Linked DNA regions of Macaca fascicularis. The protein of the gene in region 2 purifies or fractionates together with the protein of the main gene of each other region. This does not show direct contact. Links are inferred from orthologs where the notes say so. Each region holds a gene or a part of one and is shown on either strand. Other genes may lie near its edges. The genes, in order: HDAC1, L3MBTL2, E2F6, YAF2, TFDP1, LIN54 and MGA.

Evidence for each region.
Region 1: the proteins of L3MBTL2 (region 2) and HDAC1 purify together in Homo sapiens (affinity purification with mass spectrometry; 3 studies listed by BioGRID and IntAct, counting the BioPlex papers as one, with this or other methods). This does not show direct contact. The link is inferred for Macaca fascicularis from reciprocal best matches to the Homo sapiens genes L3MBTL2 and HDAC1.
Region 3: the proteins of L3MBTL2 (region 2) and E2F6 purify together in Homo sapiens (affinity purification with mass spectrometry; 5 studies listed by BioGRID and IntAct, counting the BioPlex papers as one, with this or other methods). This does not show direct contact. The link is inferred for Macaca fascicularis from reciprocal best matches to the Homo sapiens genes L3MBTL2 and E2F6.
Region 4: the proteins of L3MBTL2 (region 2) and YAF2 purify together in Homo sapiens (affinity purification with mass spectrometry; 5 studies listed by BioGRID and IntAct, counting the BioPlex papers as one, with this or other methods). This does not show direct contact. The link is inferred for Macaca fascicularis from reciprocal best matches to the Homo sapiens genes L3MBTL2 and YAF2.
Region 5: the proteins of L3MBTL2 (region 2) and TFDP1 purify together in Homo sapiens (affinity purification with mass spectrometry; 4 studies listed by BioGRID and IntAct, counting the BioPlex papers as one, with this or other methods). This does not show direct contact. The link is inferred for Macaca fascicularis from reciprocal best matches to the Homo sapiens genes L3MBTL2 and TFDP1.
Region 6: the proteins of L3MBTL2 (region 2) and LIN54 purify together in Homo sapiens (affinity purification with mass spectrometry; 3 studies listed by BioGRID and IntAct, counting the BioPlex papers as one, with this or other methods). This does not show direct contact. The link is inferred for Macaca fascicularis from reciprocal best matches to the Homo sapiens genes L3MBTL2 and LIN54.
Region 7: the proteins of L3MBTL2 (region 2) and MGA purify together in Homo sapiens (affinity purification with mass spectrometry; 3 studies listed by BioGRID and IntAct, counting the BioPlex papers as one, with this or other methods). This does not show direct contact. The link is inferred for Macaca fascicularis from reciprocal best matches to the Homo sapiens genes L3MBTL2 and MGA.

What each region holds. Positions count from the first base shown.
Region 1 is NC_088375.1:202,695,167-202,698,761, reverse strand, and holds part of HDAC1 (histone deacetylase 1), read left to right. Parts: intron 1-2,920; coding exon 2,921-3,059; intron 3,060-3,517; coding exon 3,518-3,595. UniProt on the Homo sapiens protein: Histone deacetylase that catalyzes the deacetylation of lysine residues on the N-terminal part of the core histones (H2A, H2B, H3 and H4).
Region 2 is NC_088384.1:10,392,749-10,396,343, forward strand, and holds part of L3MBTL2 (lethal(3)malignant brain tumor-like protein 2), read right to left. Parts: intron 2,910-3,595; coding exon 2,775-2,909; intron 2,447-2,774; coding exon 2,358-2,446; intron 1,565-2,357; exon of another isoform or gene 1-1,564. UniProt on the Homo sapiens protein: Putative Polycomb group (PcG) protein. PcG proteins maintain the transcriptionally repressive state of genes, probably via a modification of chromatin, rendering it heritably changed in its expressibility.
Region 3 is NC_088387.1:110,643,039-110,647,183, reverse strand, and holds the start of E2F6 (transcription factor E2F6), read right to left. Parts: upstream 2,830-4,145; 5' UTR 2,551-2,829; coding exon 2,443-2,550; intron 1-2,442. UniProt on the Homo sapiens protein: Inhibitor of E2F-dependent transcription. Binds DNA cooperatively with DP proteins through the E2 recognition site, 5'-TTTC[CG]CGC-3'. Has a preference for the 5'-TTTCCCGC-3' E2F recognition site.
Region 4 is NC_088385.1:48,808,583-48,812,667, forward strand, and holds the start of YAF2 (YY1-associated factor 2), read right to left. Parts: upstream 2,838-4,085; 5' UTR 2,773-2,837; coding exon 2,747-2,772; intron 2,304-2,746; coding exon 2,178-2,303; intron 423-2,177; coding exon of another isoform or gene 221-422; exon of another isoform or gene 31-220; intron 1-30. UniProt on the Homo sapiens protein: Binds to MYC and inhibits MYC-mediated transactivation. Also binds to MYCN and enhances MYCN-dependent transcriptional activation. Increases calpain 2-mediated proteolysis of YY1 in vitro.
Region 5 is NC_088391.1:104,028,673-104,032,089, forward strand, and holds part of TFDP1 (transcription factor Dp-1), read left to right. Parts: intron 1-917; coding exon 918-1,069; intron 1,070-1,431; coding exon 1,432-1,598; intron 1,599-2,711; coding exon 2,712-2,790; intron 2,791-3,417. UniProt on the Homo sapiens protein: Can stimulate E2F-dependent transcription.
Region 6 is NC_088379.1:50,826,751-50,831,100, reverse strand, and holds the start of LIN54 (protein lin-54 homolog), read right to left. Parts: upstream 2,859-4,350; 5' UTR 2,698-2,858; intron 727-2,697; exon of another isoform or gene 387-726; intron 1-386. UniProt on the Homo sapiens protein: Component of the DREAM complex, a multiprotein complex that can both act as a transcription activator or repressor depending on the context. In G0 phase, the complex binds to more than 800 promoters and is required for repression of E2F target genes.
Region 7 is NC_088381.1:18,268,770-18,272,364, reverse strand, and holds part of MGA (MAX gene-associated protein), read right to left. Parts: coding exon 3,404-3,595; intron 1-3,403. UniProt on the Homo sapiens protein: Functions as a dual-specificity transcription factor, regulating the expression of both MAX-network and T-box family target genes. Functions as a repressor or an activator.

The DNA.
Region 1 (3,595 bases), on a different chromosome or scaffold from region 2:
ATGTAGATTGGTCCTGTGGTTTTTACTTAAGTCTCTAAAGTGGCTGGTGTAATGTCTCACACCTGTAATCCCAGCACTTTGAGAGGCTGAGGAGGAGGATTGCTTGAGGTCAGGAATTCAAGACCAGCCTGGGCAACGTAGTGAGACCCTCGTGTCTACAGAAAAATAAAGTAAAAACAATTAGCTGGGCATGGTGGCTTGTGCCTGTAGTCCCAGCTACTCAGGAGGCTGAGGCTTAAACCCAGTAGGTTGAGGCTGCAGTGAGTCGTGGTCACACCACTACACTCTAGCCTGGGCAACAGAGCAAGACTCTGTCTCCAAAAAAAAAAAAAAAGTTTAAAAAGTCTCTAAAATGTCCTTCTGGTTCAGTCCCAGCCCAAGTTCAATCTCTGACATGGTACTGACAGGTGTCCTTGACTGTCCTCTCCTACTAAGAGATCTTATGTACAGGAGTTCCCTGCAGACCTCCTGGGGTTGTTAAGATGCTGTATGTAAAAGCAATTTGTGAACTGCAAAGTGCTATAAAAATGGAAGTGTCATCATCTGTGAATCTGTCCTATGAAAAAGTATGGTCATTACCTTTAGAGGTCAGAAATACTCCCCACGTGTCTCCCACTTCCATTTGCAACTTTTGGGTTATCTCCAGGATGACTCCCTTTCTTAAATATTTATTTCCCTGTGATCCCCCACCAATATAATCATTGTGTCCACCCCCGCTGCCCGGCCAGTATAATCGCAGAAAACAAAGAAGTGCACAGAAAAAAACACAGTCACCCATAGTCCCAGGGTTGGTGGATAACCTCTGTCACCATGTTGGTGTTTGGCCATTCTTTGGTGTGTGTGTTTATATCTGTATAACACATATACAACATCTACATTTTACAAAAGTAGGTTATATACATATCACATATATATGGTTTTATGCCTGCATTTCCTACTTAACGAAATTGTCTGTAGTTTTCTACAGCTTGCTTTCTTGTGGCTCTATGATTATTCCATGTTGTGGATTTACTTGAGTTGATCTAATCTGTCCCTCTTCTTGATAATTTGGATCTATCTATGCTTTTATTGCTGTTAAAATCAACACTGCAGCCGGACACGGTGGCTCACGCCTGTAATCTCAATCCTTTGGGAGGCCGAGGCAGGTGGATCACCTGAGGTCAGGAGTTTGAGACCAGCCTGGCCAACATAGTGAAACCCCATCTCTACTAAAAAATACAAAAATTAGCCAGGCGTGGTGGCGCACGCCTATAATCCCAGCTACTTGGGAGGCTGAGGCAGGAGAATTGCTTGAACCTGGGAGGTGGAGGTTGCAGTGAGCCGAGATCGCGCCACTGCACTTTAGCCTGAGTGACAGAGTGAGACTCCATCTCAAAAAACAACAACAAAAAATTAACACTGCCGGCCGGGCGCGGTGGCTCAAGCCTGTAATCCCAGCACTTTGGGAGGCCGAGACGGGTGGATCATGAGGTCAGGAGATCGAGACCATCCTGGATAACATGGTGAAACCCCGTCTCTACTAAGAAATACAAAAAACTAGCCGGGCGAGGTGGCGGGCGCTGTAGTCCCAGCTACTCGGGAGGCTGAGGCCGGAGAATGGCATGAACCCGGGAGGCAGAGCTTGCAGTGAGCTGAGATCCGGCCACTGCACTCCAGCCTGGGCTACAGAGCGAGACTCCGTCTCAAAAAAAAAAAAAAAAAATTAACACTGCCACAAATGCACTTGCACACATGAGTGTGTATTTCTCTTTTACTTCTTCTGGGGCCTATTTGTGCTAATGCTTTTTTTTTTTTTTTTTTTTTTTGAGACGGAGTCTCGCTCTGTCACCCAGGCTGGAGCAAGGTGCCCGGATCTCAGCTCACTGCAAGCTCCGCCTTCCGGGTTCCCGCCATTCTCCTGCCTCAGCCTCCCGAGTAGCTGGGACTACAGGCGCCCGCCACCTCGCCCGGCTAGTTTTTTGTCTTTTTTTGGTAGAGACGGGGTTTCACCGTGTTAGCCAGGATGGTCTTGATCTCCTGACCTCGTGATCCGCCCGTCTTGGCCTCCCAAAGTGCTGGGATTACAAGCTTGAGCCACCGCGCCCGGCCGTGCTAGTGCTTTTTGACCTAGTGTATCGGCACTATCTTTGGTCATTTTTTTTTCTTCCTTTCTTTCTTTCTTTTTTTTTTTTTGAAGTAGAGTCTCCCTCTGTCACCCAGGCTGGAGTGCAGTGGCGTGATCTTGGCTCACTGCAACCTCCGCTTCCTGGGTTCAAGCGATTCTTCTGCCTCAGCCTCCCCAAGTAGCTGGGACTACAGGTGTGTACCACCACGCCCAGCTAATTTTTTTTTTGTATTTTTAGTAGAGACAGGGTTTCACCATGTTGGCCAGGCTGGTCTTGAACTCTTGACCTCAGGTGATCTGCCCACCTCGGCCTCCCAAAGTTCTGGGATTACAGGCGTGAGCCACCGCACGTAGCCTATCTTTGGTATTTTTTCAAAGTTCCTTGACCATGAGCCATAGTAAGAAATAAATTTACACATGCAATCCAGGATACATATAACACATATGCATGCATGCACACACTCACTCACTCTGAAGCCAGTTTTACAAAAGAGCAGTTACCTTTACTGTTACTCTGATATTTTTTTCTATGCTATTTCATTAAAAATATATATATACTAATAATGATGCACTAAATCAATTTTAAGGCCTGCTAATGGGTTACTACCCTCAGTTTGGAAAATAGTATTTTAAGAGTAGCCAGTGTCATGTTTATTTCCTGCTGGAGTAGGGTGGGAGGGAGGGGACTAATCTATGAATTGTACAATACAGCTGTTGAATAGGCAGGTCTTAACCTCTCACTTGGTTCCCTGGGCTTCTTGGAAGAAGGGGAGAGTGGCTTAGTAACCAGCTTATGTTCTCTCTTCCCATGCCCAGCAAGTGCTGTGAAACTTAATAAGCAGCAGACGGACATCGCTGTGAATTGGGCTGGGGGCCTGCACCATGCAAAGAAGTCTGAGGCATCTGGCTTCTGTTACGTCAATGATATCGTCTTGGCCATCCTGGAACTGCTAAAGTATGCCTGCCTGGCCTTGTCTCTTGGAAGAGCACCTTAGGCCAGGTTCCCATTTCCCTTTCCCCCTGGGCTTGCCTCCCTAGTTTGCTTTTCCTACCGATGTGCTGGCTAGGATGTGCTCGGTGAGTGTCTCTGGCCATCATCTCCTTGATGGGGTCTTGGTTTGAACTGAGCCACGGCATGATCAGGGGCAGGTGCTGCTCAGATCCTGCCTCCAGAGTGTCCCTGTGTGGCTGGAGTTGACCCTGGCTGTAGAGTAGGAAGATCGGACTTGGTCGGCTTGGTCAGGCCTCTGGAGACACCTGGCCGCTCTTCCACCTTCCTTCAGCCAGTTTCCACGTCTCTGGTGCTTAGAGATACCTGAGGGAGGCAGCCAGCCCGGTAAGCTGGGACCTGGCGCCCTTGGCGCGTCCCATCCCCAAAGAGCCCCCAGACCCCTGACCCCCTTCTGACCCTAGGTATCACCAGAGGGTGCTGTATATTGACATTGATATTCACCATGGCGACGGCGTGGAAGAGGCCTTCTATACCACAGA
Region 2 (3,595 bases):
CAGAGCCGTCCTGCCTGGGGCAGGGAACAGGTAGGGTGTAAGGCTTTTCCAGCCCCAGGGCACGGCTGGGTCAGGAAGCGGCGGAGCCTAGACTAAGCAGCGCTACTTCCAAACACACCCAGAAGGAAAGGTCTCAGAGGTCACAAAGCAGCCAATAGGCAAAGCTGCCACAGGGGTCCTAAACCAGACAGACCCTCTGGCCCAGCTCAAGGGCTTGGGATACGCCCTGACACCAATTGCCTGTCCCACGTCTGGTATCCCAGAGGCTCACTCAGGAGAGTGAGAGACAACGCAGGGTAAGGCCTGGCTCAGGGCCCCTCTGGGCTGCCTTCCCTGCCACGTTCTCTTCCTCTACAGCCAACACAGTGCAGCCCACAATCCTACGCCATTTTTGTTTTTGTTTTTGTTTTGAAATGGAGTCTCCTCGCTCTGTGGCCCAGGCTGAAGTGCAGTGGGCACAATCTCGGCTCACTGCAACTTCGGCCTCCCGGGTGCAAGCAATTCTCCCACCTCAGCCTCCTGAGTTAGCTGGGATTACTGGTGTGTGCCACCACACCCAGCTAATTTTTGCATTTCTAGTACAGTCGGGGTTTTGCCATGTTGGCCAGGCTAGTCTGGAACTCCTGCCCTCAGGTGATCTGCCGACCTTGGCCTCCCAAAGTGCTGGGATTACAGAGTGAGTCACTGTGCCCAGCCCAACTAATTTTTTTTTAAGAGACAAAGTCTCACGGTGTTGCCTAAGCTGGTTTCGGACTTCTGGCCTCAAGTAATCCTCTCGCCTTGGCCTCCCAAAGTGCTGAGACACTGAGACAGGTATGAGTCACTTTTACCATGTACACGTGACTTAATTTTTACTAAATCATTTCTTTTTTTTTTTTTTTTTTTTAAGACGGAGTCTCGCTCTGCCGCCCAGGCTGGAGTGCAGTGACTGGATCTCAGCTCACTGCAAGCTCCGCCTCCCGGGTTCACGCCATTCTCCTGCCTCAGCCTCCCGAGTAGCTGGGACTACAGGCGCCCGCCACCTCGCCCGGCTAGTTTTTCGTATTTTTCAGTAGAGACGGGGTTTCACCGTGTTAGCCAGGATGGTCTCGATCTCCTGACCTCGCGATCCGCCCGTCTCGGCCTCCCAAAGTGCTGGGATTACAGGCTTGAGCCACCGCGCCCGGCCTAAATCATTTCTTAAAATTAAATGCCAAACAGATGATTCTGTGCCACACAGGAGTCCTAAACCAGACAGAATCCGACAGCCCAGAGGGGCCCCAGGCCAGGCCTTAGCCTGTACTGTGCCAGGCACACCCCTGGCTTAGAACCGAGGCTGTATTACAATTACTCGTGTGCATGGCTTTCGTTTCTTCTGCCAGACTAAAGATTTCTGGATGGCAGGGTCTGTATTCTTTGTATTCCCACATTGCCTTGTAAACAAGTATGTAAGGCTGGGCACGGTGGCTCACGCCTACAATCCCAGCACTCTGGGAGGCCGGGGTGGGTGGATCACTTGAGGTCAGGAGTTCGAGACAAGCCTGGGCAATACGGTGAAACCCCATCTCTACTAAAAATACAAAAATTAGCCACGTATGATGGTGCACGTGCACCTGTAATCCCAGCTACTTGGGAGGCTGAGGCAGAAGAATTGCTTGAGCCCAGGAAGCAGAGGTTGCAGTGAGCCAAGATTGTGCCACTGCACTCCAGCCTGGGCAACAGAGCGAGACTCTGTCTTAAAAAGAAAAAAAAGGCTGGGCACAGTGGCTCATGCCTGTAATCCCAGCACTTTGGGAGGCCAAGGCAGGCAGATCACGAGGTCAGGAGATTGAAACCATCCTGGCTAACATGGTGAAACCCCATCTCTACTAAAAATACAAAAAAATTAGCCAGGCATGGTGGTGAGCGCCTGTAGTCCCAGCTACTCGGGAGGCTGAGGCAGGAGAATGGCGTGAACCCGGGAGGCAGAGGTTGCCATGAGCCGAGATTGCGCCACTGCACTCCAGCCTGGGCGACAGAGCGAGACTCCGTCTCAAAAAAAAAAAAAAAAAAAAAAATATGTAATAAAATCTATTGAGTGAACACTTCCGAAAAATTCTATGAGCAAAGGTAAGGTTCTGGAAGAGCAAAAGGCAGACAAAGCAGCATGACTGGTGCGGTAGGAGCAGAGTCTGGGTGGGGTGGTGGCTGACACCAGGCTAGAAAGGCAGATGGCAACCATGTAGCAGCAGCATTTGTCTCCAGCCTTGCAAAATGTGGAGCTGCTGAAGATCATCAGGCAAGAGAGTCTCAGATAACATGCTCCAGTGAGTAGCATGGAGGATGGAGAAAAATGGAAGAGCAGAAGAAGGGACATCAGTTAAGGGCTCACTGCCGACCTTGATGTGGAAATCCACGGGAAGCGTCCTGGAGCCCACCAGCCGTTTCATGAGGTAGCCCTTCCAGTCGGTGAACTTGGCATGGATGGCTGTGGAGGCACCAGCAGAATCCTGGTTACAGACTGACGACACCTCCACCGACAGGGACGCTAGCACCGACCCCGAGTGGGGGCCCCTCAGCAGTGGGGAGGAAAATAGCTGCCTCTCGAGGCCAGCAAGGACTTCATCCGAGAACCTCAGATTCCACACATGGATTGGCTCCTGGGCCTCTGAGACGGGGAGGGCAGGAAGCCAGGGGGCAAGTGGCTTCTGTTCTAACAAGACAGAGGACTCCCATTCTACCTAACACAAGCAGAGGACTCTCCCTCTACCAGGGGCCCTGCACGAACAAGAGAGGGAATGTTCTCATCAACTCACTCCGTGGGGGCACGAGGATCTTGCTGTTGATGGCACACCAGCCAATGGGGTGGACATCCACAGTTCCCAGGTTGCACCAGAAGTCATGGCTGGCATCATTTTCAAAGCCTTCGTACCGAAGCAGCACCCGATACCCTGAAAAGAAAGGAAAGGGCACCTGTGAGGGAGGGTGAGCTGGGGAAGGTATGCTGTGTTTTTTTTATTATTTTGAGACGGAGTCTTGCTCTGTTGCCCAGGCTGGATTGTAGTGGCGCCATCTCAGCTCACTGCAAGCACCGCCTCCTGAGTAGCTGGGACTACAGGTGCTCGCCACCACGCCTGGCTAATTTTTTTTGTATTTTTAGTAGAGACGGGGTTTCATCGTGTTAGCCAGGATGGTCTCGATCTCCTGACCTTGTGATCTGCCCTCCTTAGCCTCCCAAAGTGCTGGGATTACAAGCGTGAGCCACCGCGCCCGGCCTGGGGAAGGTATGTTGTTAAGCCGTCTCTTGTCTCTAGCCTAAGCTGGACTTCCGGCACCTATACTTCCAGGCACGTGTGTTCCTGTTGTCCACAACAGTCCTAGTCAATCAAATTCATGCTCCTAGTTAGGAAAGCATTATGGCATGGTGCTGAGAGTTAATTCCCTATAACCTGACCATCCCTGGAATGAATTTTACTTTTTAAATTTTTTTCATTTTTTGTAGAGACAGTGTCTCACTACGTTGCCCAGGCTGGTCTCGAACTCCTGAGCTCAAACAATCCTCCTGCCTCCGCCTCCCAAAGTGCTGGGATTAGAGGTGTGAGCCACGACACCCGGCCCTGGAACAAACTTTATAAAT
Region 3 (4,145 bases), on a different chromosome or scaffold from region 2:
AAGATTTCAAGCGATGTATCTGCTGATATTGCATGCAAACTAAGTGGTTTTTCCACAGTGAGCTTAGAGTTTTTATCAAATTCTCAAATATTAAGACGACCAATACAGATGGTACCAATATACAGCTGATCCTCAAACAACACAGGTTTGAACTGTGTGGGTCCACTTAGATGCCAATTTTCTTTACCCCCTGCCACAACTTAGAGAGCAAAACCAACTCCTCCTCTTACTCCTCTTCATCAGCCTACTCAGTGTGAAGACAAGGATGAAGACCTTTACGATCATCTAATTCCCCTGAATGAGTAGGACTTTCTCTTATTTATGATTTTCTTAATAACGTTTTCTTTAGCTACTTTATTATAAGAATACACTAACTAATACATGTAAATACAAAATATGTGTTAATCAACTGTTTACAGTATCAGTAAGGCTTCCAGGAAACAGTAAAGTTTTGGGGGAATCAAAGTTATATTCAGATTTTGAATTTCATGTGATTTGGTGCCCCAAACCCTGAGTCGTTCAAGGATCAAATGTAGACGGTAACATAAGTCATGGGAGGAGAGAATGAACTCCCCTAAGAAGAATGTGTAGAGACAGCAGAAGAGAACCCTGAATATCATCAACATGTGGCCAGCCACGGTGGCTCACACCTGTAATCCCAGCACTTTGGGAAACTGAGGTGAGAGGACAGCTTGAGCCCAGGAGTTCAAGACCAGCCTGGGCCACGCAGGAAGACTTCCATATCTAAAAATAAAAAAATTAGCCAGGCCTTGTGGCATGTGCCTGTGGTCCCAGCTACTAGAGAGGTGGAGGCAGAAGAATCACTTGAGCCTGGGAGGTCAAGGCTGCAGTGAGCCAGGATGTGCCACTGCACTCCAGCCAGGGTGACAGAGTGAGATCCTGTCTCGGGGGAAAAAAAAATGAAGGACTGGGAAGAGGATGAGGACAAGGAGAGCCCAGAGAAGCAGATGGAACATCAATGTCAAGGAAACTCAAGGGAGAGTTTCCAACACAAGTAGTTTTGTGTCAAAACTACAACAGCTGCTGGAATTGACGAGATTGTCGGTGACCCTGGTTAGAATGGTCTCACAAGTGTGCTGAGGATAGGGGTCCCCAGCAGTGGGTTGGCTGATAATGAGACGATCAAGTGGAAAGAGTGAGTGTAAATAACTTTTTCAAGAAGTTTAGCTGTGAAGGGGAAGAGAGACAGTAGATGGCAAGGGATATGGAATTAAGGGAGGGATCTTTTAAGATGGGGATGGATTGAGAATGTGGTTTTAGTAGTCAAGAATTTATCATCTGGAGTTAGACATTTGGAGGTTCAACCCAAGTTTCTCCACTTACTATCTAGCCACAGGCAAGCCGGCATTACATGCATCTCCAGGTCTGTTTTGGCAACCGTAAAACAAGAATAATAGTCTTTTACTATTATAAAACACTGCTGTGAGAAATTAAATGAGACAATAATCACAAACTATTTGGTATGGGGACCAGGCATAATGACTTGGGAAAATGTTTAATTACTACTAGTTATAGGAAGAAAGCAGCAGAGAAATTGAAAATATGGGGAGAGGCCGGGCTCGGTGGCTCACGCCTTGTAATCCCATCACTTTGGGAGGCCGAGGCGGGTGGATCACCTGAGGTCGTCAGGAGTTCGAGACCAGCTTGGCCAACACGGTGAAATCCCGTCTCTACTATAAATACAAAATTAGCTGGGTGTGGTGGCGCATGACTGTGATCCCAGCTACATGGGAGGCTGAAGCAGAAGAATCGCTTGAACCTGGGAGGCGGCGGTTGCAGTGAGCTGAGATCGTGCCATTGCACTCCAGCCTGGGGAACAAGAGTAAAAACTCCATCTCAAAAAAAGAAAAAGAAAATACGGGAGGAATGGAAAAGAACGCATTTGTTAAGGACCTTGAGAACCGGGGAATACAGTATCTGGTCCAGAACAAGAGTAGAAGAAATCAGTCTTTGTGGGAAAGGGAGCCAAATCTCCTAACCATTTTCTCCGTCAAACAGGTGGGGAGATAATTTTATGAATGGGAGCTGTGGCGTGGTAAATATAAAGCGTGGACAAGGTTTTAAACGGCTGCAGTAGAGCAGAAGAGAGAGAAGGTAGAAGAACAAATGATAGGTTGCAGAGATACAGCTAGAGTCCACTGAAGGAGAAAAACATGGCCTTTCCAATGCAAAGTTGAGCAATTTTCTCCAACAGTGCCCTGAAGTTCCGATGTAAAAGTCCAGAAGACTGACACCACGTCTGTGAACAGATGCTGAAAGCAGAAGGCGGGAGAGCGCAGTTTCGCAGCACGTGATGGGCAGCGCCTGGCCCAGGGGGAGCAGACGACCGAGACGACGGCCAGCGGGGTTGGCGGCGGCGCGGGGAGGAGGGGGCCAGCTTTGGGAGACCCCCGCCCGTCCCCCTCCCGTCCCGGAGCTTACCAGCAGTCCCTCCACGTTGATGGGGTCTCGGCACCGACGGCGAACCGTCTCCTCCGCGGGGTCCAGGAGGAGACTGGGCAACTTCCTCGCCGGCCGCTGCTGACTCATGCTGCCCGGCCGGGCGTCCCGCTCCCCTCGCACCCCGCGAGCTCTCCCGCCCTCTCGCGCGCAGCTCGATCACCGCCCCCCACGCGCCGATTTCCAAGGGCCCAGAAACTGACGGATCCGCGGCGTCCTCCAAGGCCCCGCCCGGCTAGGCCGTCCCACCCGCCAGCAAACGCGGCACTGCCTCACGTGCCCGGGAACTCCCGACGAAGACGGGAAAGGAGGAGGTAGACCCGCGGCTCTCAAGTAGCCCGGCCCGCCATTTTTCCGCATGCGCAGTGTACCGCCCCCCTCTGCGCATGCCCGCCGCGGCCGGAGCGCTCCCACGCACCGATCCTCTCCCGGCGGCTGGCGCCCGGGAAACCCGGACCGCGGAATCCACGGAGAGGCTGGCAAAGGAAAAGGAAGAGGTGGAGCCGGATTCCAGAGGAAGGGAACGGGGGTGAGAGAAAACAGGCAGCTGGGAAAACGCAGCGCTCGCCTGGAATTCTCGACGGTGATAACTGAAAGCTCTCAGCCGCAAAGATGTTCATTTATTCCTTTTTTTAATTTTAATTTTTTTTTTTTTTGTCGCCCAGGCTGGAGTGCAGTGGCGTGGTCAGGGCTCACTGCAGCCTCGAATTCTTAGGCTCAAGCGATCCTCCCACCTCAGCCTCCCAAGTAGCTGGGACTACAGGCGCGCGCCACTGCGCCCGGCTAATTTTTAATTTTAATTTTAGTAGAGGCAGAGTCTCAGTATATTGCACCGACTGGTCTTGAACTCTGGGGCTCAAGCCATCCTCCCACCTTGGCCTCCCAAGTGCTGGGATTATAGGCATGAGCTACCACGCCCGGCCTTCATTTATTCCTGAGCTCTGTTAGCACATCTTACAGGCGGGTCAGTGTTGATGCTTAGTAAATGTGAGCAACCAAACCATTGTGGTATCGTTTTACTTCTGCCTGCCTGCCTTCTTTCCTTCCTTCCTGCCTTCCTTCCTTCCTGCCTTCCTTCCTTCCTTCCTTCCTCCCTCCTTCCTGTTTGATGAATGAGTTATCGTGGACCTATAGTGTCAGATATTGGGGTGAGCACAGGCGATACTTACTCATTTGGATATGCCACAGGTTCAACCTCCAATTTCAGTGGGGACAGATAAGTAAACAGAGCATGTTAATTAAGCTGGAGCCAGAGGTGTGTTTTCAAATCCTGGCTCCTACTTATAAACCAGAAGACCTTATTAAGCCAGTTACTTAATCTGCCTGTGCCTCAGTTTCCTTATTTGGAAAATGCGAATAATGACAATACTTACCTGATAAGGTTGTTGTGAGGATTAAATGGATTAATGGATACAGGTTGCTGTGATTAGAACAGAGGCCAGCACATGTTTGAAACAAAAAGGTAACACACCGTGGTGTGTACAGAGTTGGAGGGAAACAACCGGTTAGACTGGGGGTTTCTACACAGCCTGAGGTGGGCGAGGTGAGGCAGGGAGAAATCCCTGAAGAAGCTGGCTCCCCACTAGACTATGATGTCAGAGGTCTCTAATCTTTTTTTTTTCCCCATTACCCAGGCTGGAGGGCAGTGGCATGGTCATAATTCACTGTAGCATCAAACTCCTGGT
Region 4 (4,085 bases), on a different chromosome or scaffold from region 2:
AAGAAGCTGAGAGGGTCGTAGTGTAGAACACTTACTTTCAGGAACACAGTGTCCCTTAGATTTCTGGTGAGTTGCCCAGAGCCTCTTCAGTTTCAATCCAAATGACAATGCTTCTCTGAGTCCTCCTCAAGTAATGTTTCCACCACTAAAAATTGGATCTACAAGAGCTCGGATGTACCGGTTAAAAACAAAAAAAAAGTCAGGGGCCCCCAGGTGGGCCTCAAGCCTCTTTTAAACTAGGCCCACTTCTCTGTCCTGGGCCAACTCCCCTGTGTACTATATTCCTTCTTCTTCCAGGTGCCAGGTATTCAGCCTGTTTCTTCTCTTCTGAGCTGCCACCACCTACTCTATTTCTCAGGGTTCCTCTAATCCCAAGACTGGCTGTGGAGTAGGACACCAGCTTCCCCCCTTCCTTGCTGTCCCTGCAAATAAACATATAGGCTCTTCTAGTTTCAGTATTTTTCTAATGGCTACAAGAAAATAGAGAGGGAACAACAAAAAGCAATAATATATAGTACCAGAGATCAAGATTATAATAATTGTCTCCACTTTAATGTTCCTGCCTCCAAAAAACGAATTTTCTAAATATTGTTTACTAAGCATTTTAAAAAGCACAAAGTACTAACACGGATATACAAATACACTCTAAACCAACTCCAACCTTACACAGCCATTAAGATACTCTGCTTTTCAAAATACTTAAATCACAAAACACGGGTCCAAAAATAGTAACCACAATCATTTTAGCAAATACTTTTTTTCTTTTTGGAATGTTCTGTTGTAATCCCTTAAATTTAGCATGTCTAAAAGTTGGCTTTCTGAGCATAAAAAATGTTCAAAATATTTTATCCACTGTAAATGAGAATAAATGGGTCCAAAATTAGTAACCACAATCATTTTAGTATATACTTTTTTCTTTTTGGAATGTTCTGCTGTAATCCCTTAAATTTAGAATATGTTTGAAAATTTTCTTTTTGAATATGAAAAATGTACAAAATATTTTATCCATTGTGGGAATATACAAAAAGCATATAATATTTACAAAAAATAAGCATGTCAAAGCCAGCGAGCTTCACTGAGAAAATTTTCAAATAAGTTACTGTCAACCATTCCTGTCTCTACATTTCAAACTTAATAAAATTCTGTAGTGTTTTAAAAAAAAATCAAGATCACATTTTTTAGAAATCTAACGTCTACTGAATATTTGCATATGTCAATATCATATATGCCTTTTTTAAAGCAACAGTAAGATAGATTAGTATGCTTATTGTTATAGTTTAGTCTCTAATGAACTTTGTAACATCAAAATATATATCTTCTCTACATATTAAGTAATAAATCACAGGATTATATTTAATTCAAAGGGTACCTTCCTATAAAAATCAAGGAGCTCGATAACTAAGTGCTGACAGATTAAGAATGCCAGACTGAATTTCCTGGATGATTTTCTTTATCCACTTAATTCAAAGTCGTTTTTTAAAAAACAGAGTTATTATACTGCAAGCTTACAATAAATAAAGTCTGAAAATGGGCAGAGATCTTTTCATCTCATTTGTCTAAGAGACTGCCATTTAATCAAACTAAAGATATGCAGGTACTTTCAGTAAAAATCTGTTCCTGTGACTGGGCTCATCTCCAACTACTTATTTATAAAATATTAGAGAACTGGAATAAAAACACTAAATAAAACCTTGATCTGACCCTTCCAGAAGTCCATATAGAAAAGAAGTTTAATATATTGTGTATTCTGCAATCAGATAGTTTTCTTTTTTTAGGAACGAAATTAAATTACATCCTTTGCTCCTAAAGAGGATTTTATGGGTTTTCCTTGATCCCTACACACTAACACAACAATGCAGCCAACATTTTTATACCCAGAGTGGGGAGAGGGACATTACACACGGCGATACGAATTAAATCGCAGTAGCTAATGCCTCCCATAAATAATTTATTCTCTCTTGGCAGCAAAAAACCTTACAGCCTCTTCAATTACCCCTCACCGCAAACCATCGCCTGGGTTGCGATCAATGTGACCCAGTTCCTATCGCCACAGCCACCTCCGTCTCGCCTCCTCCCGCCGGGTCCGCGAATGTCATGGGACGGGGCGGCAGCCGCAGGGGCGTCCCCTGGTCGTCACCCCGCCAGACGGAGGCGCGCGGGGCAGGCCTGGGACTCACCGGGTGGAGGTGCCCTTCCGCACATCGCACATCATGCACTTGAAGGCCTCGGCGCTGTTCCGGAAGGTGCAGACGCTACAGTCCCAGTAACCCTCATCCGAGGACGGCTTCGGCTGCCGCTTCGGCCTGCAGGACACAACCCGGACACGACGCGGCGCGGGGTCACCAGCAGGCCGCGCCCGGCGCCCGGGCCCTGCGGCCGCCCCCGCCCCGCCCCCCGCCCCAATTCCGCGACCCCCGCCCGGCGGGCCCCCGGCGGGCCCTCGGCGCGCCGCGCTCCGGCTCCAAGGGGGAAGGAAGTCAGGAAGAGGCAGGGCGCGAGCCCGGCCGCACTCGCCGCCGCCACAGCCGCTCTGACACCCGGGCTGCCGCTCCGGTAGCCGCCGCCATCGCGGCTCCATTGTGGGGCGGCCGGCGCCGGCCCCCTCACGCGGCAGCACTCGCACACCAGCGGCGCCGCCCCCGTGCTCGCCCCGGTGCCCGGGCGGCGAGCGAGGCAGCCACCCGAAGCCCTGCACCAGGGCCCTGCCGCCCGCACAGTCCGGGCCCCGGGGCCCGGGCGCTGTTACCTGGTGGGGCTCTTCTTGTCTCCCATGGCTTGGCTATCAACGCACGCTGAGAGTCGCCGCCGCGGCCGCACTGTTTGTCAATAAGGAGGATAATAAGCCGGGCGGAAGCGGGCGGGGGAGGAGGGAGGAAGGGGGCGGGGAAGGCCGCACCGCCGCGCTCGGGAGCCGCCGCCGGATCCCACGCAGCCTCCAGCTGTCGGGGAAACTCCTGCCTGGGCGCACGTGACCCGCGCCCGCCAACCAGCAGCCGCGCCGGAGACTTCAAACGCGGCCAGCGCGGCCCAGCACCCGCGGCGAGTTAGCCGGCGGGCGGTGCGGAGGTGGACGCCTCGGCCTCGGGAGCCGGCGCCGCCTCACCGCACTGTTGCCCTGTCGCCCTCTCGGTACCCACGGCTGCCAGGGGCTGCCGCGCGCTCCAGAGCCCCTCTGAGGAGGAAAATATCTGTCCCACCGACTGGCTTGGGATGCTCAGTCATCCCGTGCGAAGCCTGGTCCAAGGTCTGGCATTCGGAGGCCTGTCCAGGTCTGGACAGAAGTGCCAGCCCGGGGTCTCCAGGTAGAACGACTTTCCTGGCCTCCGCCGTCCTTAGCTACTCAGTCCCCGCCTGCAGGACACCACGGGGAAGGCGGGAACCAACACGCAGCGCCATTGCTAGATGCCTTAAAGCGCTACACAGATGCTCAAACAAGTAGGGCTTGTCACCCCTAACTTAGAGGAATCGAAATCAAGACTCAAGAGAGGTTAGGTGACTTCCTCTGGGCTACATAATTAGAAAATGACAAAGCCAGGAGTCTAACTCTGCTCTAATTCCAAAGGCACCCTTTTGGCCTCTCAGGCCTCTGCAGTAGCTGCTTTTGAAAGAAACCCAATACATACTCATAAGGCCTTTTTAAATATAAGGAGTTTACATGTCCCCTCAACGCTGTCTGCTAACAAAAGAACACCTTCCCAGGTCTCTTTACCTCAATATACTAAATAAAGGTCCTCATACTCCAGACTCCAGCAACAGCCATCAAACTGGTCTCCGAAGCTCCACTTCCACCTCCCCAATCGATTCAGTAGTCCACAACCAGATGAATAATAAAATGCTGTTAATATTATGCCACCACTCTGATCAAGAACCACTAACGACTCCCACACTCCTTAGCCTGGCATTTAAAGGCTTCACACATTTTCCCTACCTCTGCATCCCTCTCCCATGAGAAAAGCTGCCTCCTGACAATGCACATGGGTTACTTCTGCATAAACTAGATCCCTCTTTAACAGTGCTGTTTCTGTCCATCTTTCTAGGTTTACATCAATTCCGAATTCATGTAAAATGATAATTTCATAGCTAAA
Region 5 (3,417 bases), on a different chromosome or scaffold from region 2:
GTGCTGATCAGGGCCCTGGAGCTGGCCTTCCCCACCTCCCACTGAGTGCTGAGGGTGGGCGGCACCCCTGGGGGCCCCGTGTCTGGTGTGGAGGGGGTCGTGTGCAAGGTGCTCAGTGCAGAGCTGACTGCTGCTCTGGCCGAGGTGTGCTCGAGCCCTCCCAGAGGGGATGGTGTGGCAGCCATGGTGATGGAGACTCGTGGGCGAGAGCTGCTCAGGGCCACAGAGTCTGTCAGGAGGGACAGTCCTGGTTGCCAGTGCCTTAGTACCTGCCTAACGGGGATAGACCCAGGGTGGCCGGGAGAGGAAGGGAATCTCCTGGCTCTACAATAATAGCAGAGAAGTTCTCTCCAAGTGGAACACTTGGTTTGGGGCCTGAGGCCCTGGCCCTGGGTTCAGCCTTGCAGGGCCCATTCCCCCAGAGGAGCACCCCTGCAACACACGGGCCCTTCCGCGTTCTACTTCCCAGGGTGGGCGAAGTCCACGGCATGGCACCCCTCCAAGGCTGTCACCCTGTAGGTGCCACGGGGGTGGGTGGCCTCAGAGGGGTGAAGGACAGCAAGAAATCGACTTCCAAAATTGGTGTTTTGTTGAGCACCCTTGCTGTGGTGGACGTTTTCATCACGGGCACAGATGACTGTGAGGTGTGAGCACTGTTCCCATGGAGGACACTTTTATCACGGGCCCGGATGGCTATGCGCCCGCTTTCCCTTAGTTCTTCCCTCAGGATCTCGTTTCCTGAGCGCTTTTGTCCCTGGGCTGCAGAGGTCAGCACCCAGCTGCTGGTGCTGGCCTTTTCAGATGTCCAGGCCAACTTCTCACTGTTGCCTGGGCGCAGGGAGGGCTGTGAGGACCCCTCGAGCACAGGGACTGTGTTCTCGTGCTGCCACGGGCCACCTGGCTCCTCCTTTTTTTAGCAAATTGCCTTCAAGAACCTGGTGCAGAGAAACCGGCATGCAGAGCAGCAGGCCAGCCGGCCGCCGCCACCCAACTCAGTCATCCACCTGCCCTTCATCATCGTCAACACCAGCAAGAAGACGGTCATCGACTGCAGCATCTCCAATGACAAGTAGGTTGTGGGCGGGGAGCCATTCTCTGGTCGCTTATCTCTTTTTGAGGGAGCTGACCCCTTTGGGATTGTCACGAGGACAAGTTTTAAATGTTGCACAAATAGCCGGGGTTTGCTGTCCATTGTGGGGTGGTGGGAGGCTGTGTCCCGGGAGCGTGTGCCTCAGGGCATGTCCTGGGAGAATGGACCTCGATTTGCCTCTCACCTCATTTACTGCGGAGTTTGTAAATTCTGTGAGGAGATGCTGATGACTGGGAATGTGGAGGCTGTGTGTGGCGGTCCGTGGGTCAGCTGTCCTGGCCCCACCGGTTACCGGCTCCACTGGGAGACCCTGTGTTTCTGACTGTGCCTTTCCCCTTCAGATTTGAGTATCTGTTTAATTTTGACAACACATTTGAAATCCACGATGACATAGAAGTGCTGAAGCGGATGGGCATGGCTTGTGGACTGGAGTCGGGGAGCTGCTCTGCCGAAGACCTTAAAATGGCCAGAAGTCTGGTCCCCAAGGCTCTAGAGCCGTACGTGACAGGTCAGCGATGCCCAGACAACCCGGCGTGGCTGTGTGAGGAATGGCTCCCAGCCTCGGATGGCGCCCTCCCCTCCCAGCTTGGGATGTGTCTTGCTGAGATTGGGCCCACGTGTGTAGGGCCAGGAGCAAAGACAAAGGGGCTATGAGGGGCATGGGGGCGGGGGTGTGGCTGGGGCGGGGTCCAGCCAGTGCCATCACCCACTGGATGTGGGGGCCTTGAGTCTGCAGGTGGCTGGTGTGGATTTCCCGTGTGGTTTGTATGAGGAGATGCTAAGTCAGGATTTTACCCTCCACGTAGGCCCAGAAGTAGAAGTTGACATTCTTTGAGAAGTGCAGTTGGATTGCTGATCCCACCCACTGATGGTAGCTGATTGGTCACTAGGGCAAAGTAACCAAGAAAAAGCGTTTCAGAGTCATTGGCGTCCTGCTCCGGAGGGCCGGGAGCACAGGAGCTTTTGTTGAAGGAACTTTTTTTCTGTTCTGGTGAATTCTTTCCGTGGGGCCGTAGGGTCCCAGCCACTGACAGCAGAATGGCTTTAAGGTGAGAAATTGTGAAAGTGCCATATCTGCTGATCCTTCTCTTGTCAGGCTAAACTTGGGGTGTGGATTTATTCCCCGAGAGGGTCAGAGATTCCTCCCTGAGCTCCTAAACCACTCCAGATCTTGTGAAAATCTGGCTGGTCCATGTTGTCAGGTGACAGTGGGCTCCGGCCGCCCACGTGGGCTGAGCCCTGACCCCGGCCTCTGTCCTGTGCTTCGTGGAACCGCCAGGATGGGCTGTGGGAAGAGGGTTTCAGCTCGACACTTCATTCTGTTCTGTTTCACGATGGGTGTGATACTGATGCAGAAGCACACGTGTGCCGTTTGTAAGTCAGTGTGTGCAGGTATTTATTGCAAGGCTCTCTGTGCCTTTTTAGAGAAGACAGGCTTATGTGACTGCACAGGGATGTCCTGCTCCGTGGCACAGTGCAGAAAATACTGGAGAAGTGAAGGATATCTGGAAGCTTTTCCAGCCGTCTGTCCTGTGGCGCTGCGTGTCATTTTGTTGGTGGCCTGTGCGTCTTGTGTTGTTTCTGTTTCATGACCATTCGCTTATTTTCTTTCCCTTTTCAGAAATGGCTCAGGGAACTGTTGGAGGCGTGTTCATCACGACGGCAGGTTCCACGTCTAACGGCACAAGGTTCTCTGCCAGGTGACAGTGGTTGAGGGTGTGGGAGAGGCATCGTCTAGGCCTCCCCCAGGGTCCAGGGGCCAAGGCAGGGCAGCCGTCTCGTGTGGCCATCAGGTCCGAGGCTGCTCCAATGTGGCTTGTCTGTCCAGGCAGTGGGGCCCTGCTGGCTTTCCCTGTGTGGCTTTCCCTGCTTGTCTCAGTTGGTTTTTGCTCACTAAAAACTAAAAGTAATACATGGTGGTGGATTTTTTCAAAGTATCACCTAATAAATAAAGTAGGAACGAAAACCACCCAAACCCTCCTGTCCCGGGCAGCCCAAGTAACAGCAAGTATTTCTAGGTTTTTTTCTCCCATTTTTCAGAACACATCTGCAGTCACAGTGCACGTCTTTTTCAGAACGGTCACAGTGCATGTATTTTTCAGAACGCATCTGCGGTCACAGCACACATATTTTGTTCCGTGCATTTTTCAGCTTACATTTTATTGTATTAATATATATAGTTTCTATGCTATTAAAGGGCCTTTATTTAAATAAATTTGTATTTAATCTATAACCTGCAATCCCATAGAGTAGAATGATGTCCCTAGGTATTGATCTTAGTGCTTCAAAGATAAATATACCTTTTATGGTAAATATTAACAAAACAA
Region 6 (4,350 bases), on a different chromosome or scaffold from region 2:
CAGACTAGGATCTAAGACACAGACCTTAAATGCAGAATAAAATGCCAATGCTCTGCCTCCCTAAAGAAACATACAACCCCAAGAACTGCTGAACACCATCAAAGCAACAACCGCCAGAGTGGCTGTTTTAAAAATTGTATCAGGAAATCATGCTAAGTGCTAGCGGTTCCTCTAGGCCTCAGCAGCAGCCTTAGGTATAAGAGCAAACTGGAGCCCTCTTAACACTCAAAGAATAATGTTGATGTCATGACGAGGCTACTGATTCTTCGCACTCCGGACAAGTCATTCCTTGATCCACAGCGCAGTTCTTTCCCCACCCACCCCCATCCCCCCAAATAAAGAGATCTCCAGACAGAGAAGCCCTCGGGTACCCCCTCCTCCTCTACCTCCAGCGGCTGCCGCTTTCTCCTCCCTCGGGCTCCGAGGTGGGGGCTCCAGAAGGTCCTGGGCAATCCCGAGCCCCGGCGGGGCTTGTTTTGCCCGTGCACGATAGCTCTGGCCAACAGCTTCCTTTCCCAGTTTGTCCAAACTGGAGCGCTTCAGGGTACCCGGGGCCCGAGAAGGGAGCCGGGGTGGCGACGTCGCCGCCGCCGCCGCCTCTGGTATGTCAGGGGCCGGGATTGTATTTCGAAAGATCCGCCATTTTCACCTCGTCATCACCATCACAGCTCAGCAGCTTCCCCGACAGCCGGAGCCCGGGCCGCCGCCGCCGCCGCCACCACCAGTAACCTCCCCCTTCCTCCTCCCCTCCCCGCCCGCCCCTCCCGGGAGGCGCACACCCACATATCCGGGGAAGCCTCCCGCCGCCCCGCCAACCTTCAAACGCACAAGGGCCGTGCAAGTGCACACCGGCTACGCCGAGACCTTTCACCCCCGGGCGGAGCACGGGCCCCCGCAGGGACGCCAAAGGAAGTCGCGCCACCTGCGGGGTCCCAAGTCCGGCATATTTTTGTTTGCAAGACCAAAAGCCATGCGGAGGGTGGCATAAGGACAATAAAGAACCCAAACTCTTTTATTTTCAGAGCAGCAACTTGAGAGAGATGGTGGAATGCGTTTTATTCACTGTGGCTATCTCAGGTACCAAAAACACTGTGAAGACCCTTAATGTCATTCACCAACTTTGACATTTTACCCCACCTGCGGAACTACTTTGACAGGATGAGCTATTTCCATATGCATGTTCGACCTTTGACACCTTTGTCAATTACAGGCAGCAATCCTCATGCAGGTGAGCTGGTCAAAACACTTCATTTTAAAAAATAAAGTTCTGAGCTGTCTTCCTCTCCAACTTAATTTTATCTGGTCATTTCTGTCCATGAACACTGTGACTTCCAATCTGTCATCGGTTTAAGACGTCAAAGCGCAACTAGATTTAAAATGTATTGAACTAATTGTAGAAACATTCATGAATGATCAATTTCTAAAATATTGAAAATATAACTCTAAGCTAAAAGTATTTGCCAAATGTTTTTAGGATCTAAGTCATCAAATTAAAAAAAAAAAAAAAAAACCATCTGCTGCTGATATATTTGTTCAATACAGTGAAAATAAACAGCTTGCTTCAGAACAAGACCCTAGAGTTACCTACTAGGTAAGTAAGAGTTACCAGCTCCTGTCATCAGTCAGTTGAATAAGTAACCAAAAGAGAACAGAGGTAATTCTTAATCATTTAAAAAATAACAAAACATAAGCTGCAAGGCTTCTTCTGAGACCAACACTTTAAAAAAAAAAAAAAAAAAAAAAAGGAAACTGGCTGCCTTTGTCAATTTCAAAAAGAGTTAACCAACCAAAAACTTAATTCTTTATCATTCAACTACAATATAAGCTCTGGGCAAACTGAATTTCAAGGCTGCGAACAGGGCCACTCTACTGTCTAAGTTAGTGTAAGAAGATTAAGGTTGAAGTTGAAAAAGTCATTTCATTTCCCTACCTTGTTTCAATGGCAACTCCATATAAAAGTCGGTAGATTCAGCCTTCAACAAGGGCTGTTTACCACCCACCCCAATTGCTGTTTTTATATGCAGACTGCCAGATGCTGAGAGTGTAAAGTGTTATCAGTTACTTCATCTTTAAACTTCATTTCCCTACTGACGGCCCCGTCCATCCGCACTCTGCTTGGTTGTTTACCGTTGCTGTCCAAGCTAAGTCCCGGCCCGCTCCCTTCCCCCGTGCACCTCGGGAACATTATGACATTTGGCTGGTGGGCTTCGCGAGGAAAACGGACACGCACGAACAAGAGCCTATACAAAGGGGCATAGGAAGAACGCGGCGGCGGGCAGTAGGGAGAGGAGGGACTGGCACAAAATGACACAGCAGCAAAACCGGTTCCCAGAAACCCAGGGCAGCCACGGCCGGCTTGTTGGGTCGCGCAGTGTGCGTGTCAACAGCCGCGGGAGCCCTTCCTCCAGATCGCCAGGCAGGCGGCTGGCCGAGCGCTGGCCCTGCCGGGTGACAGCCACCCTCCCGGGAGCCGGCGGGAAGAGACGGAGCCCCGAGGATCCTCCGCCCCCCGCAGCCCAGGGAAGGGGCGCGGCTGACCCCGCTGGCGGGTTCCCGCTCCCCGCCAAGGCCCACCGGCCCGGGCTCCCGGAGGGAGCGGTCCAGCGCTCTCCGCCCGCGCAGCCACTCGCAGCGGGGGCCGGTTCCCCCTTCCCGCCCGCCCGCCCAGTAGCTCCCATCCCGGCGGCTGACACTCACCAAAGCCGGCGGCGCCGCCGCCTCCTGGTCGCGCGGCGCTCCCTGGGCTCCCAGCAGCAGCGGCGGCGGCGGCGCCTCCGAGACACAGACCAGGGTTTGTTCAAAATCACGCGCCCAGCGCCATTCCACCGCCGCATCCCATAATACGCCGGGCCCTCCCCGCCCGCGCGCCCCTCTCTGCCCGCCCCTGCGCTCAGCACCCCGCCCCACGGCCGGCTTCCTTCGCTCCGCCTCTTCCGCGGTGCCTCGCCCCTCCCCTTGGCAACCGGAGCCCGCGTTATTCCGCCCGGCTCCGCCGGGGCGCTACAGCTCCACGTGACTCCGAGTGGCGCCCGGTCAAAGCGATCGCACGGAATGTTCCATCCCACTGAAGCTGGTGGGGGGAGGACCCGCATCGCGCTGCTGTTGGGAAAGACCGTCCCTTCGTCTAGCTTTCCTTGTTAGGAAGTGTGAGCTGTAGGTGCGACTTCCAGGATATCCCGCTGTTTGATGTGCTTGAGTGAGGAGGTGATCAGTAGTCACAAATGCCAAGTCACTGTGTTTTTAGGCACTAATTTTGCAGGGGTCGCTAAAAAGCCCCAGGGAGATCATTGAGAGTTAAACTTATTTTGAAAGAGACCTTTTGTTTTTTTCTTGCAACACACAGCTAAGACTAACACAGTCAAAATTATTTGTATTTAATCACCTTTTATTTTTTCCCGCGATTTATATGATATCCAAATACGGAGTCGGATGACCAGACGCTGAGAGATCATTCTGAGGGGAAAAAGAAAAATTATTCTGAGAGATTATTAACTGCTGTGTGTGAGACAAGCACTACAGATATGAAAAAATAGAAAATACAAGAGTGTAAATGTAAGATGGTGCGGTACAGTGTATAATTTGCTAATGGAGCACGGAGGACATACAGGTCAGCATCAGAGACTACCTAGAGAACACAATGGAGGAGGTGAAACTAGTGGAGGCAGCAATCACTTTGGAATCAAGCGGTACTGGTATTTAGTGGCACCTCCGTTTATTAGTGTATAACGTTTATTTTCCTATCCAGCAAATAAAAATAACAAAACTTCCCAGAATTCTGATGATTAAATAAAATGAAGGGTGCTAAGCAGGTACACTGTCTCTGCCTAAAATGTTAGTTCCCTTGTGCCATAATCAACACCCAGTACCAGCCCAAACACTAATAGTCAGGATTTAACAAGGCAGATGTCATGAAATTAGCAAAGCCTTGAAAATGGTAAGGTCTGTGACATGTGCAAGGAAAGTGATAAAGTTGAAAGACACAAAGGCTTTGTTGGAGATCAGCATTGTGAGCCCACTTTATGAGGAACCTTGAGAGCTAGTGTGAGAAATCCTCATGGTAAAATGATTGATGGTACTGTTGGCGCACCACTGGAAGGAAGAAGAGAGTGCGATGGGGTACCCAAAACTGGCTAGATTTTAGAGAGACCAAACAAATCTCAAAAAAGGGAGACCCTTTCCCAGTTTATTCCACAAGGCAGCATAACTCTCATACTAAAACCCAAGACAAACAGTGCCCAAAAAAGAGAAGGGAAACTTCCTTTCTCACTATGATTTTGTTATGAAGGGAAAATTGATTATTTAGATGTTATTGATCTGGTGCTGTGGCTCACACCTGTAATCGCAGGACTC
Region 7 (3,595 bases), on a different chromosome or scaffold from region 2:
AAATAGAGTTTCAAGTAGGAGAAAACGGTCAAGCAACAGCAAATGTAGCAAATAAAGCCTAAAGATCAGTGCATTTACCAATAGCATTAGCTAAAACAAAGCAGAATGACAAAGCAATCATGTATCAGTAACTGAATAGAAAATGGGAAAATAGTGTGGGGGGTGTGTGTGTGTGTGCACGTGCACACGCATGTGTATATAATTTTTCAGACCCTTAAATCAGAGGTTGGCAATTATTTCCTGTAAAGGAACAGATAGTAAATATTTTAGGCTTTACAAGCATCTATGGTCTGTCACATATTCTTGTATACACACTAAAATAAGCTATAGGCCAGATTTGCCCAACTCTCGCCTAAAAATAATTTCTGCTCCCATATCAAGCATTTAGAGAAAAAGTTTACACAGAGCTAAATACCATTTTCACACATAAAGATAATGTTATTTCTTGGAGCATGATTCGAGTTGCTTTTCTCCCTTCAGTGACAGCGATACTACATGTTAATAAATCTGAACCACTCTCCTGATTCATTAAAATCAAAAGCTCAACCATATGTAATCCCAACAGCTGCTTTCTATAACAAAAAAAATAAGCCTGGCCGGGTATGGCAGCTCATGCCTGTAATCCCAGCACTGTGAAAGGCCAAGGCTGGCAGATCACTTCAGCTCACAAGTTTGAGGCCAGCCTGGGCAACATGGCAAAACCTTGTCTCTACTAAAAATACAAAAAAATCAGTCAGGCATAGTGATGCATGCCTGTAGTTCCAGCTACTCAGGAGGCTGAGGGAGGAGAATCACCCAAGTCCAGGAAGTCAGGGCTACAGTGAGCCGTGATTGCACTACTGCACCCTATTCTAAGTGACAGAGCCATACACTGCCTCAAAAAACAAACCAACATACATCTGACCCTTTAACCTAAAGAACTTCTCCAGGCCCTATCCTCCAAAGGAATTTTAATAAATTCTGCATCATCCAACGGTACACTCAACTATTTCTGGATAACAAGGGTAAAAATATAATTTGTGGTCAACTGTTTAAATCCATTTTAATTATGTTAATCAAGATGATTAAGCTGTGGCTGAAGAATCAAGTTTAAAGACGGCATCCACCAGTTGCAATTACAAACAATACCACAGCAAAAAGTATAACCCGAAAGAACCTTTCCCCTTTGACAAAAAACTGTATGCATTGCTTGAGTAGCACTTACTCCTGCTGCAACAATCCTTAGAAAAAGCAAAGCAATAACCAGCTCATAGACAAGGCAAGGGGAACTCATGAGCATGGTGATTCCAAATTAAAAAAATAGTAGCTGTTAGTGGCCTACAATTTTAGCAAGAAAAGGAAAGTAAAGGGAATTCGTGTGCAGGGATTTCTTTACTTTTGCTGAACTTGGGTTTAAAAATCAAAATAATGGCTGGGCGCAGTAGCTCACACCTGTAATCCCAGCACTCTGGGAGGCCAAGGTGGGCAGATCACGAGGTCAGGAGATCAAGACCATCCTGGCTTAACACGGTGAAACCCCATCTCTACTAAAAATGCAAAAAAATTAGCCGGGCGTGGTGATAGGCGCCTGCAGTCCCAGCTACTCGGGAGGTTAAGGCAGGAGAATGACGTGAACCTGGGAGGCGGAGCTTGCAGTGAGCCCAGATCATGCCACTGCACTCCAGCCTGAGCGACAGAGCCAGACTCCGTCTCAAAAAAAAAATAAATAAAAATAAAAATAAGGCAAGTTCAGGCCGGGCATAGTGGCTCACATCTGTAATTCCAACACTTTGAGAGGCCAAGGCGGGTGGATCACCTGAGGTCAGGAGTTTGAGACCAGCCTGGCCAACATGGTGAAACTCCATCTCTAGTAAAAAAAAAATTCAAAAAATTTAGCCAGGCATGGTGGCACACACCTGCAATCCCAGCTACTCGGGAGGTTGAGACAGGAGAATCGCTTGAACCTGGGAGCCCCAGGTTACAGTGAGCCGAGAAGGCGCCACTGCACTCCAGCCTGAGCAACAGAGCGAGATTCCATCTCAAAAACAATAAACAAACAAAAATAAGGCAAGTTCAAACAAAAAGAAACAACAGTATCATTCACAATAGTCAAATTCAAGTTTTGCTTTTTGGAACTTTGTGAAATCCTCCCCCCCCATCCCATCTCAAATTTTTTTTTTTTTTTTTTTTTTGAGGCGGAGTCTCGCTCTGTCGCCCAGGCTGGAGTGCAGTGGCACGATCTCGGCTCACTGCAAGCTCCGCCTCCCAGGTTCCCGCCATTCTCCTGCCTCAGCCTCCCGAGTAGCTGGGACTACAGGCGCCGCCACCACGCCCGGCTAATTTTTTTGTATTTTTAGTGGAGACGGGGTTTCATTGTGTTAGCCAGGATGGTCTCGATCTCCTGACCTCGTGATCCGCCCGTCTCGGCCTCCCAAAGTGCTGGGATTACAGGCTTGAGCCACCGCGCCCGGCCCATCTCAAATATTTTGGATTTGTGGTTGGTTGAACACACAGCTGCAGCCTCCATGGAAGACTGATTGTATAGACAACTCATGATTACAGGCGACTTTCTGTATCTGAGGAGGACTGGTTCCAGGACCCTCCCCAGATACCAAAATCTGAGGATACTCAAGTACCTTAGTTGGCCAGTTTTATCTGTGGATGCAGAACCAGAAGATGTGGCGGGCCTACTATAATTGAAGAAGGGAAGAAAACCCCATATCATAATGGAAACAAAACTTATCTACACAAGGCACAAAATGCATTTACAGTCATTATTTGTACCTAATACTTGTGAATTTACTGCCTGAGGGATATCCTAATCCATAAATTGCCCAAAGAAGCAGCTGAAAATTATTACTAGTTAAAATAGCATGTTTACTGTTTCTTTAAAATTTACCTGGCATAACTGAAGCCTTGTACCCTTTGACCAACATCTTTCAGTCTTTCTCTACCCCCGGCATCCACCATTCTACTTTCTACCTTTATGAATATTTTGCAGTATTTGTCTTTTTTGTTTTGCTTATTTCACTTAGCACAGTATTCTCTAGGCACATCTATGTTGTCACAATTGGTATGATTTTCTTTTTTTCTTGAGACGGAGTCTCAAATGTAGTAAGGTGTTGGTATCCTCGGGTGGTCCTGGAACCAATCCCCCAAGGATGTCAAGGAACATTCTAAATACATACGAATAATTCAGATAAGTTATCCAATTTGCCTACAATTCTAGATCCTGAACCCAACTGATTCTCATTACAGAAAAATTATCTGTCATTTCACAGACTGTAAAAGCAGTTGTAGTACATTTTATAGTGACTTACTTTATCAACATGTGTAGCATTCCACAGAACCAAGATGTTAAATCCAACACCTGGCCCATCTCAATCTTCCTTTTATTTCTAAGAACAGAAAAACTACTACTTACCATTCAGAAATCTCTTGCTTCAATTGAGGAACTTCACTAAGTGCTGAATCAGTATCCATGAAACCAAGAAAGTCTCGTTTTATATTAAGGGAAGTCTTCTCCAAACCCTTGCCTGATGTTTCATGACCCCTCGACAAAGGATCCAAATCACCTGGTTGTATCTCTGACCCCTGACCTTCTGTAAGACGGACC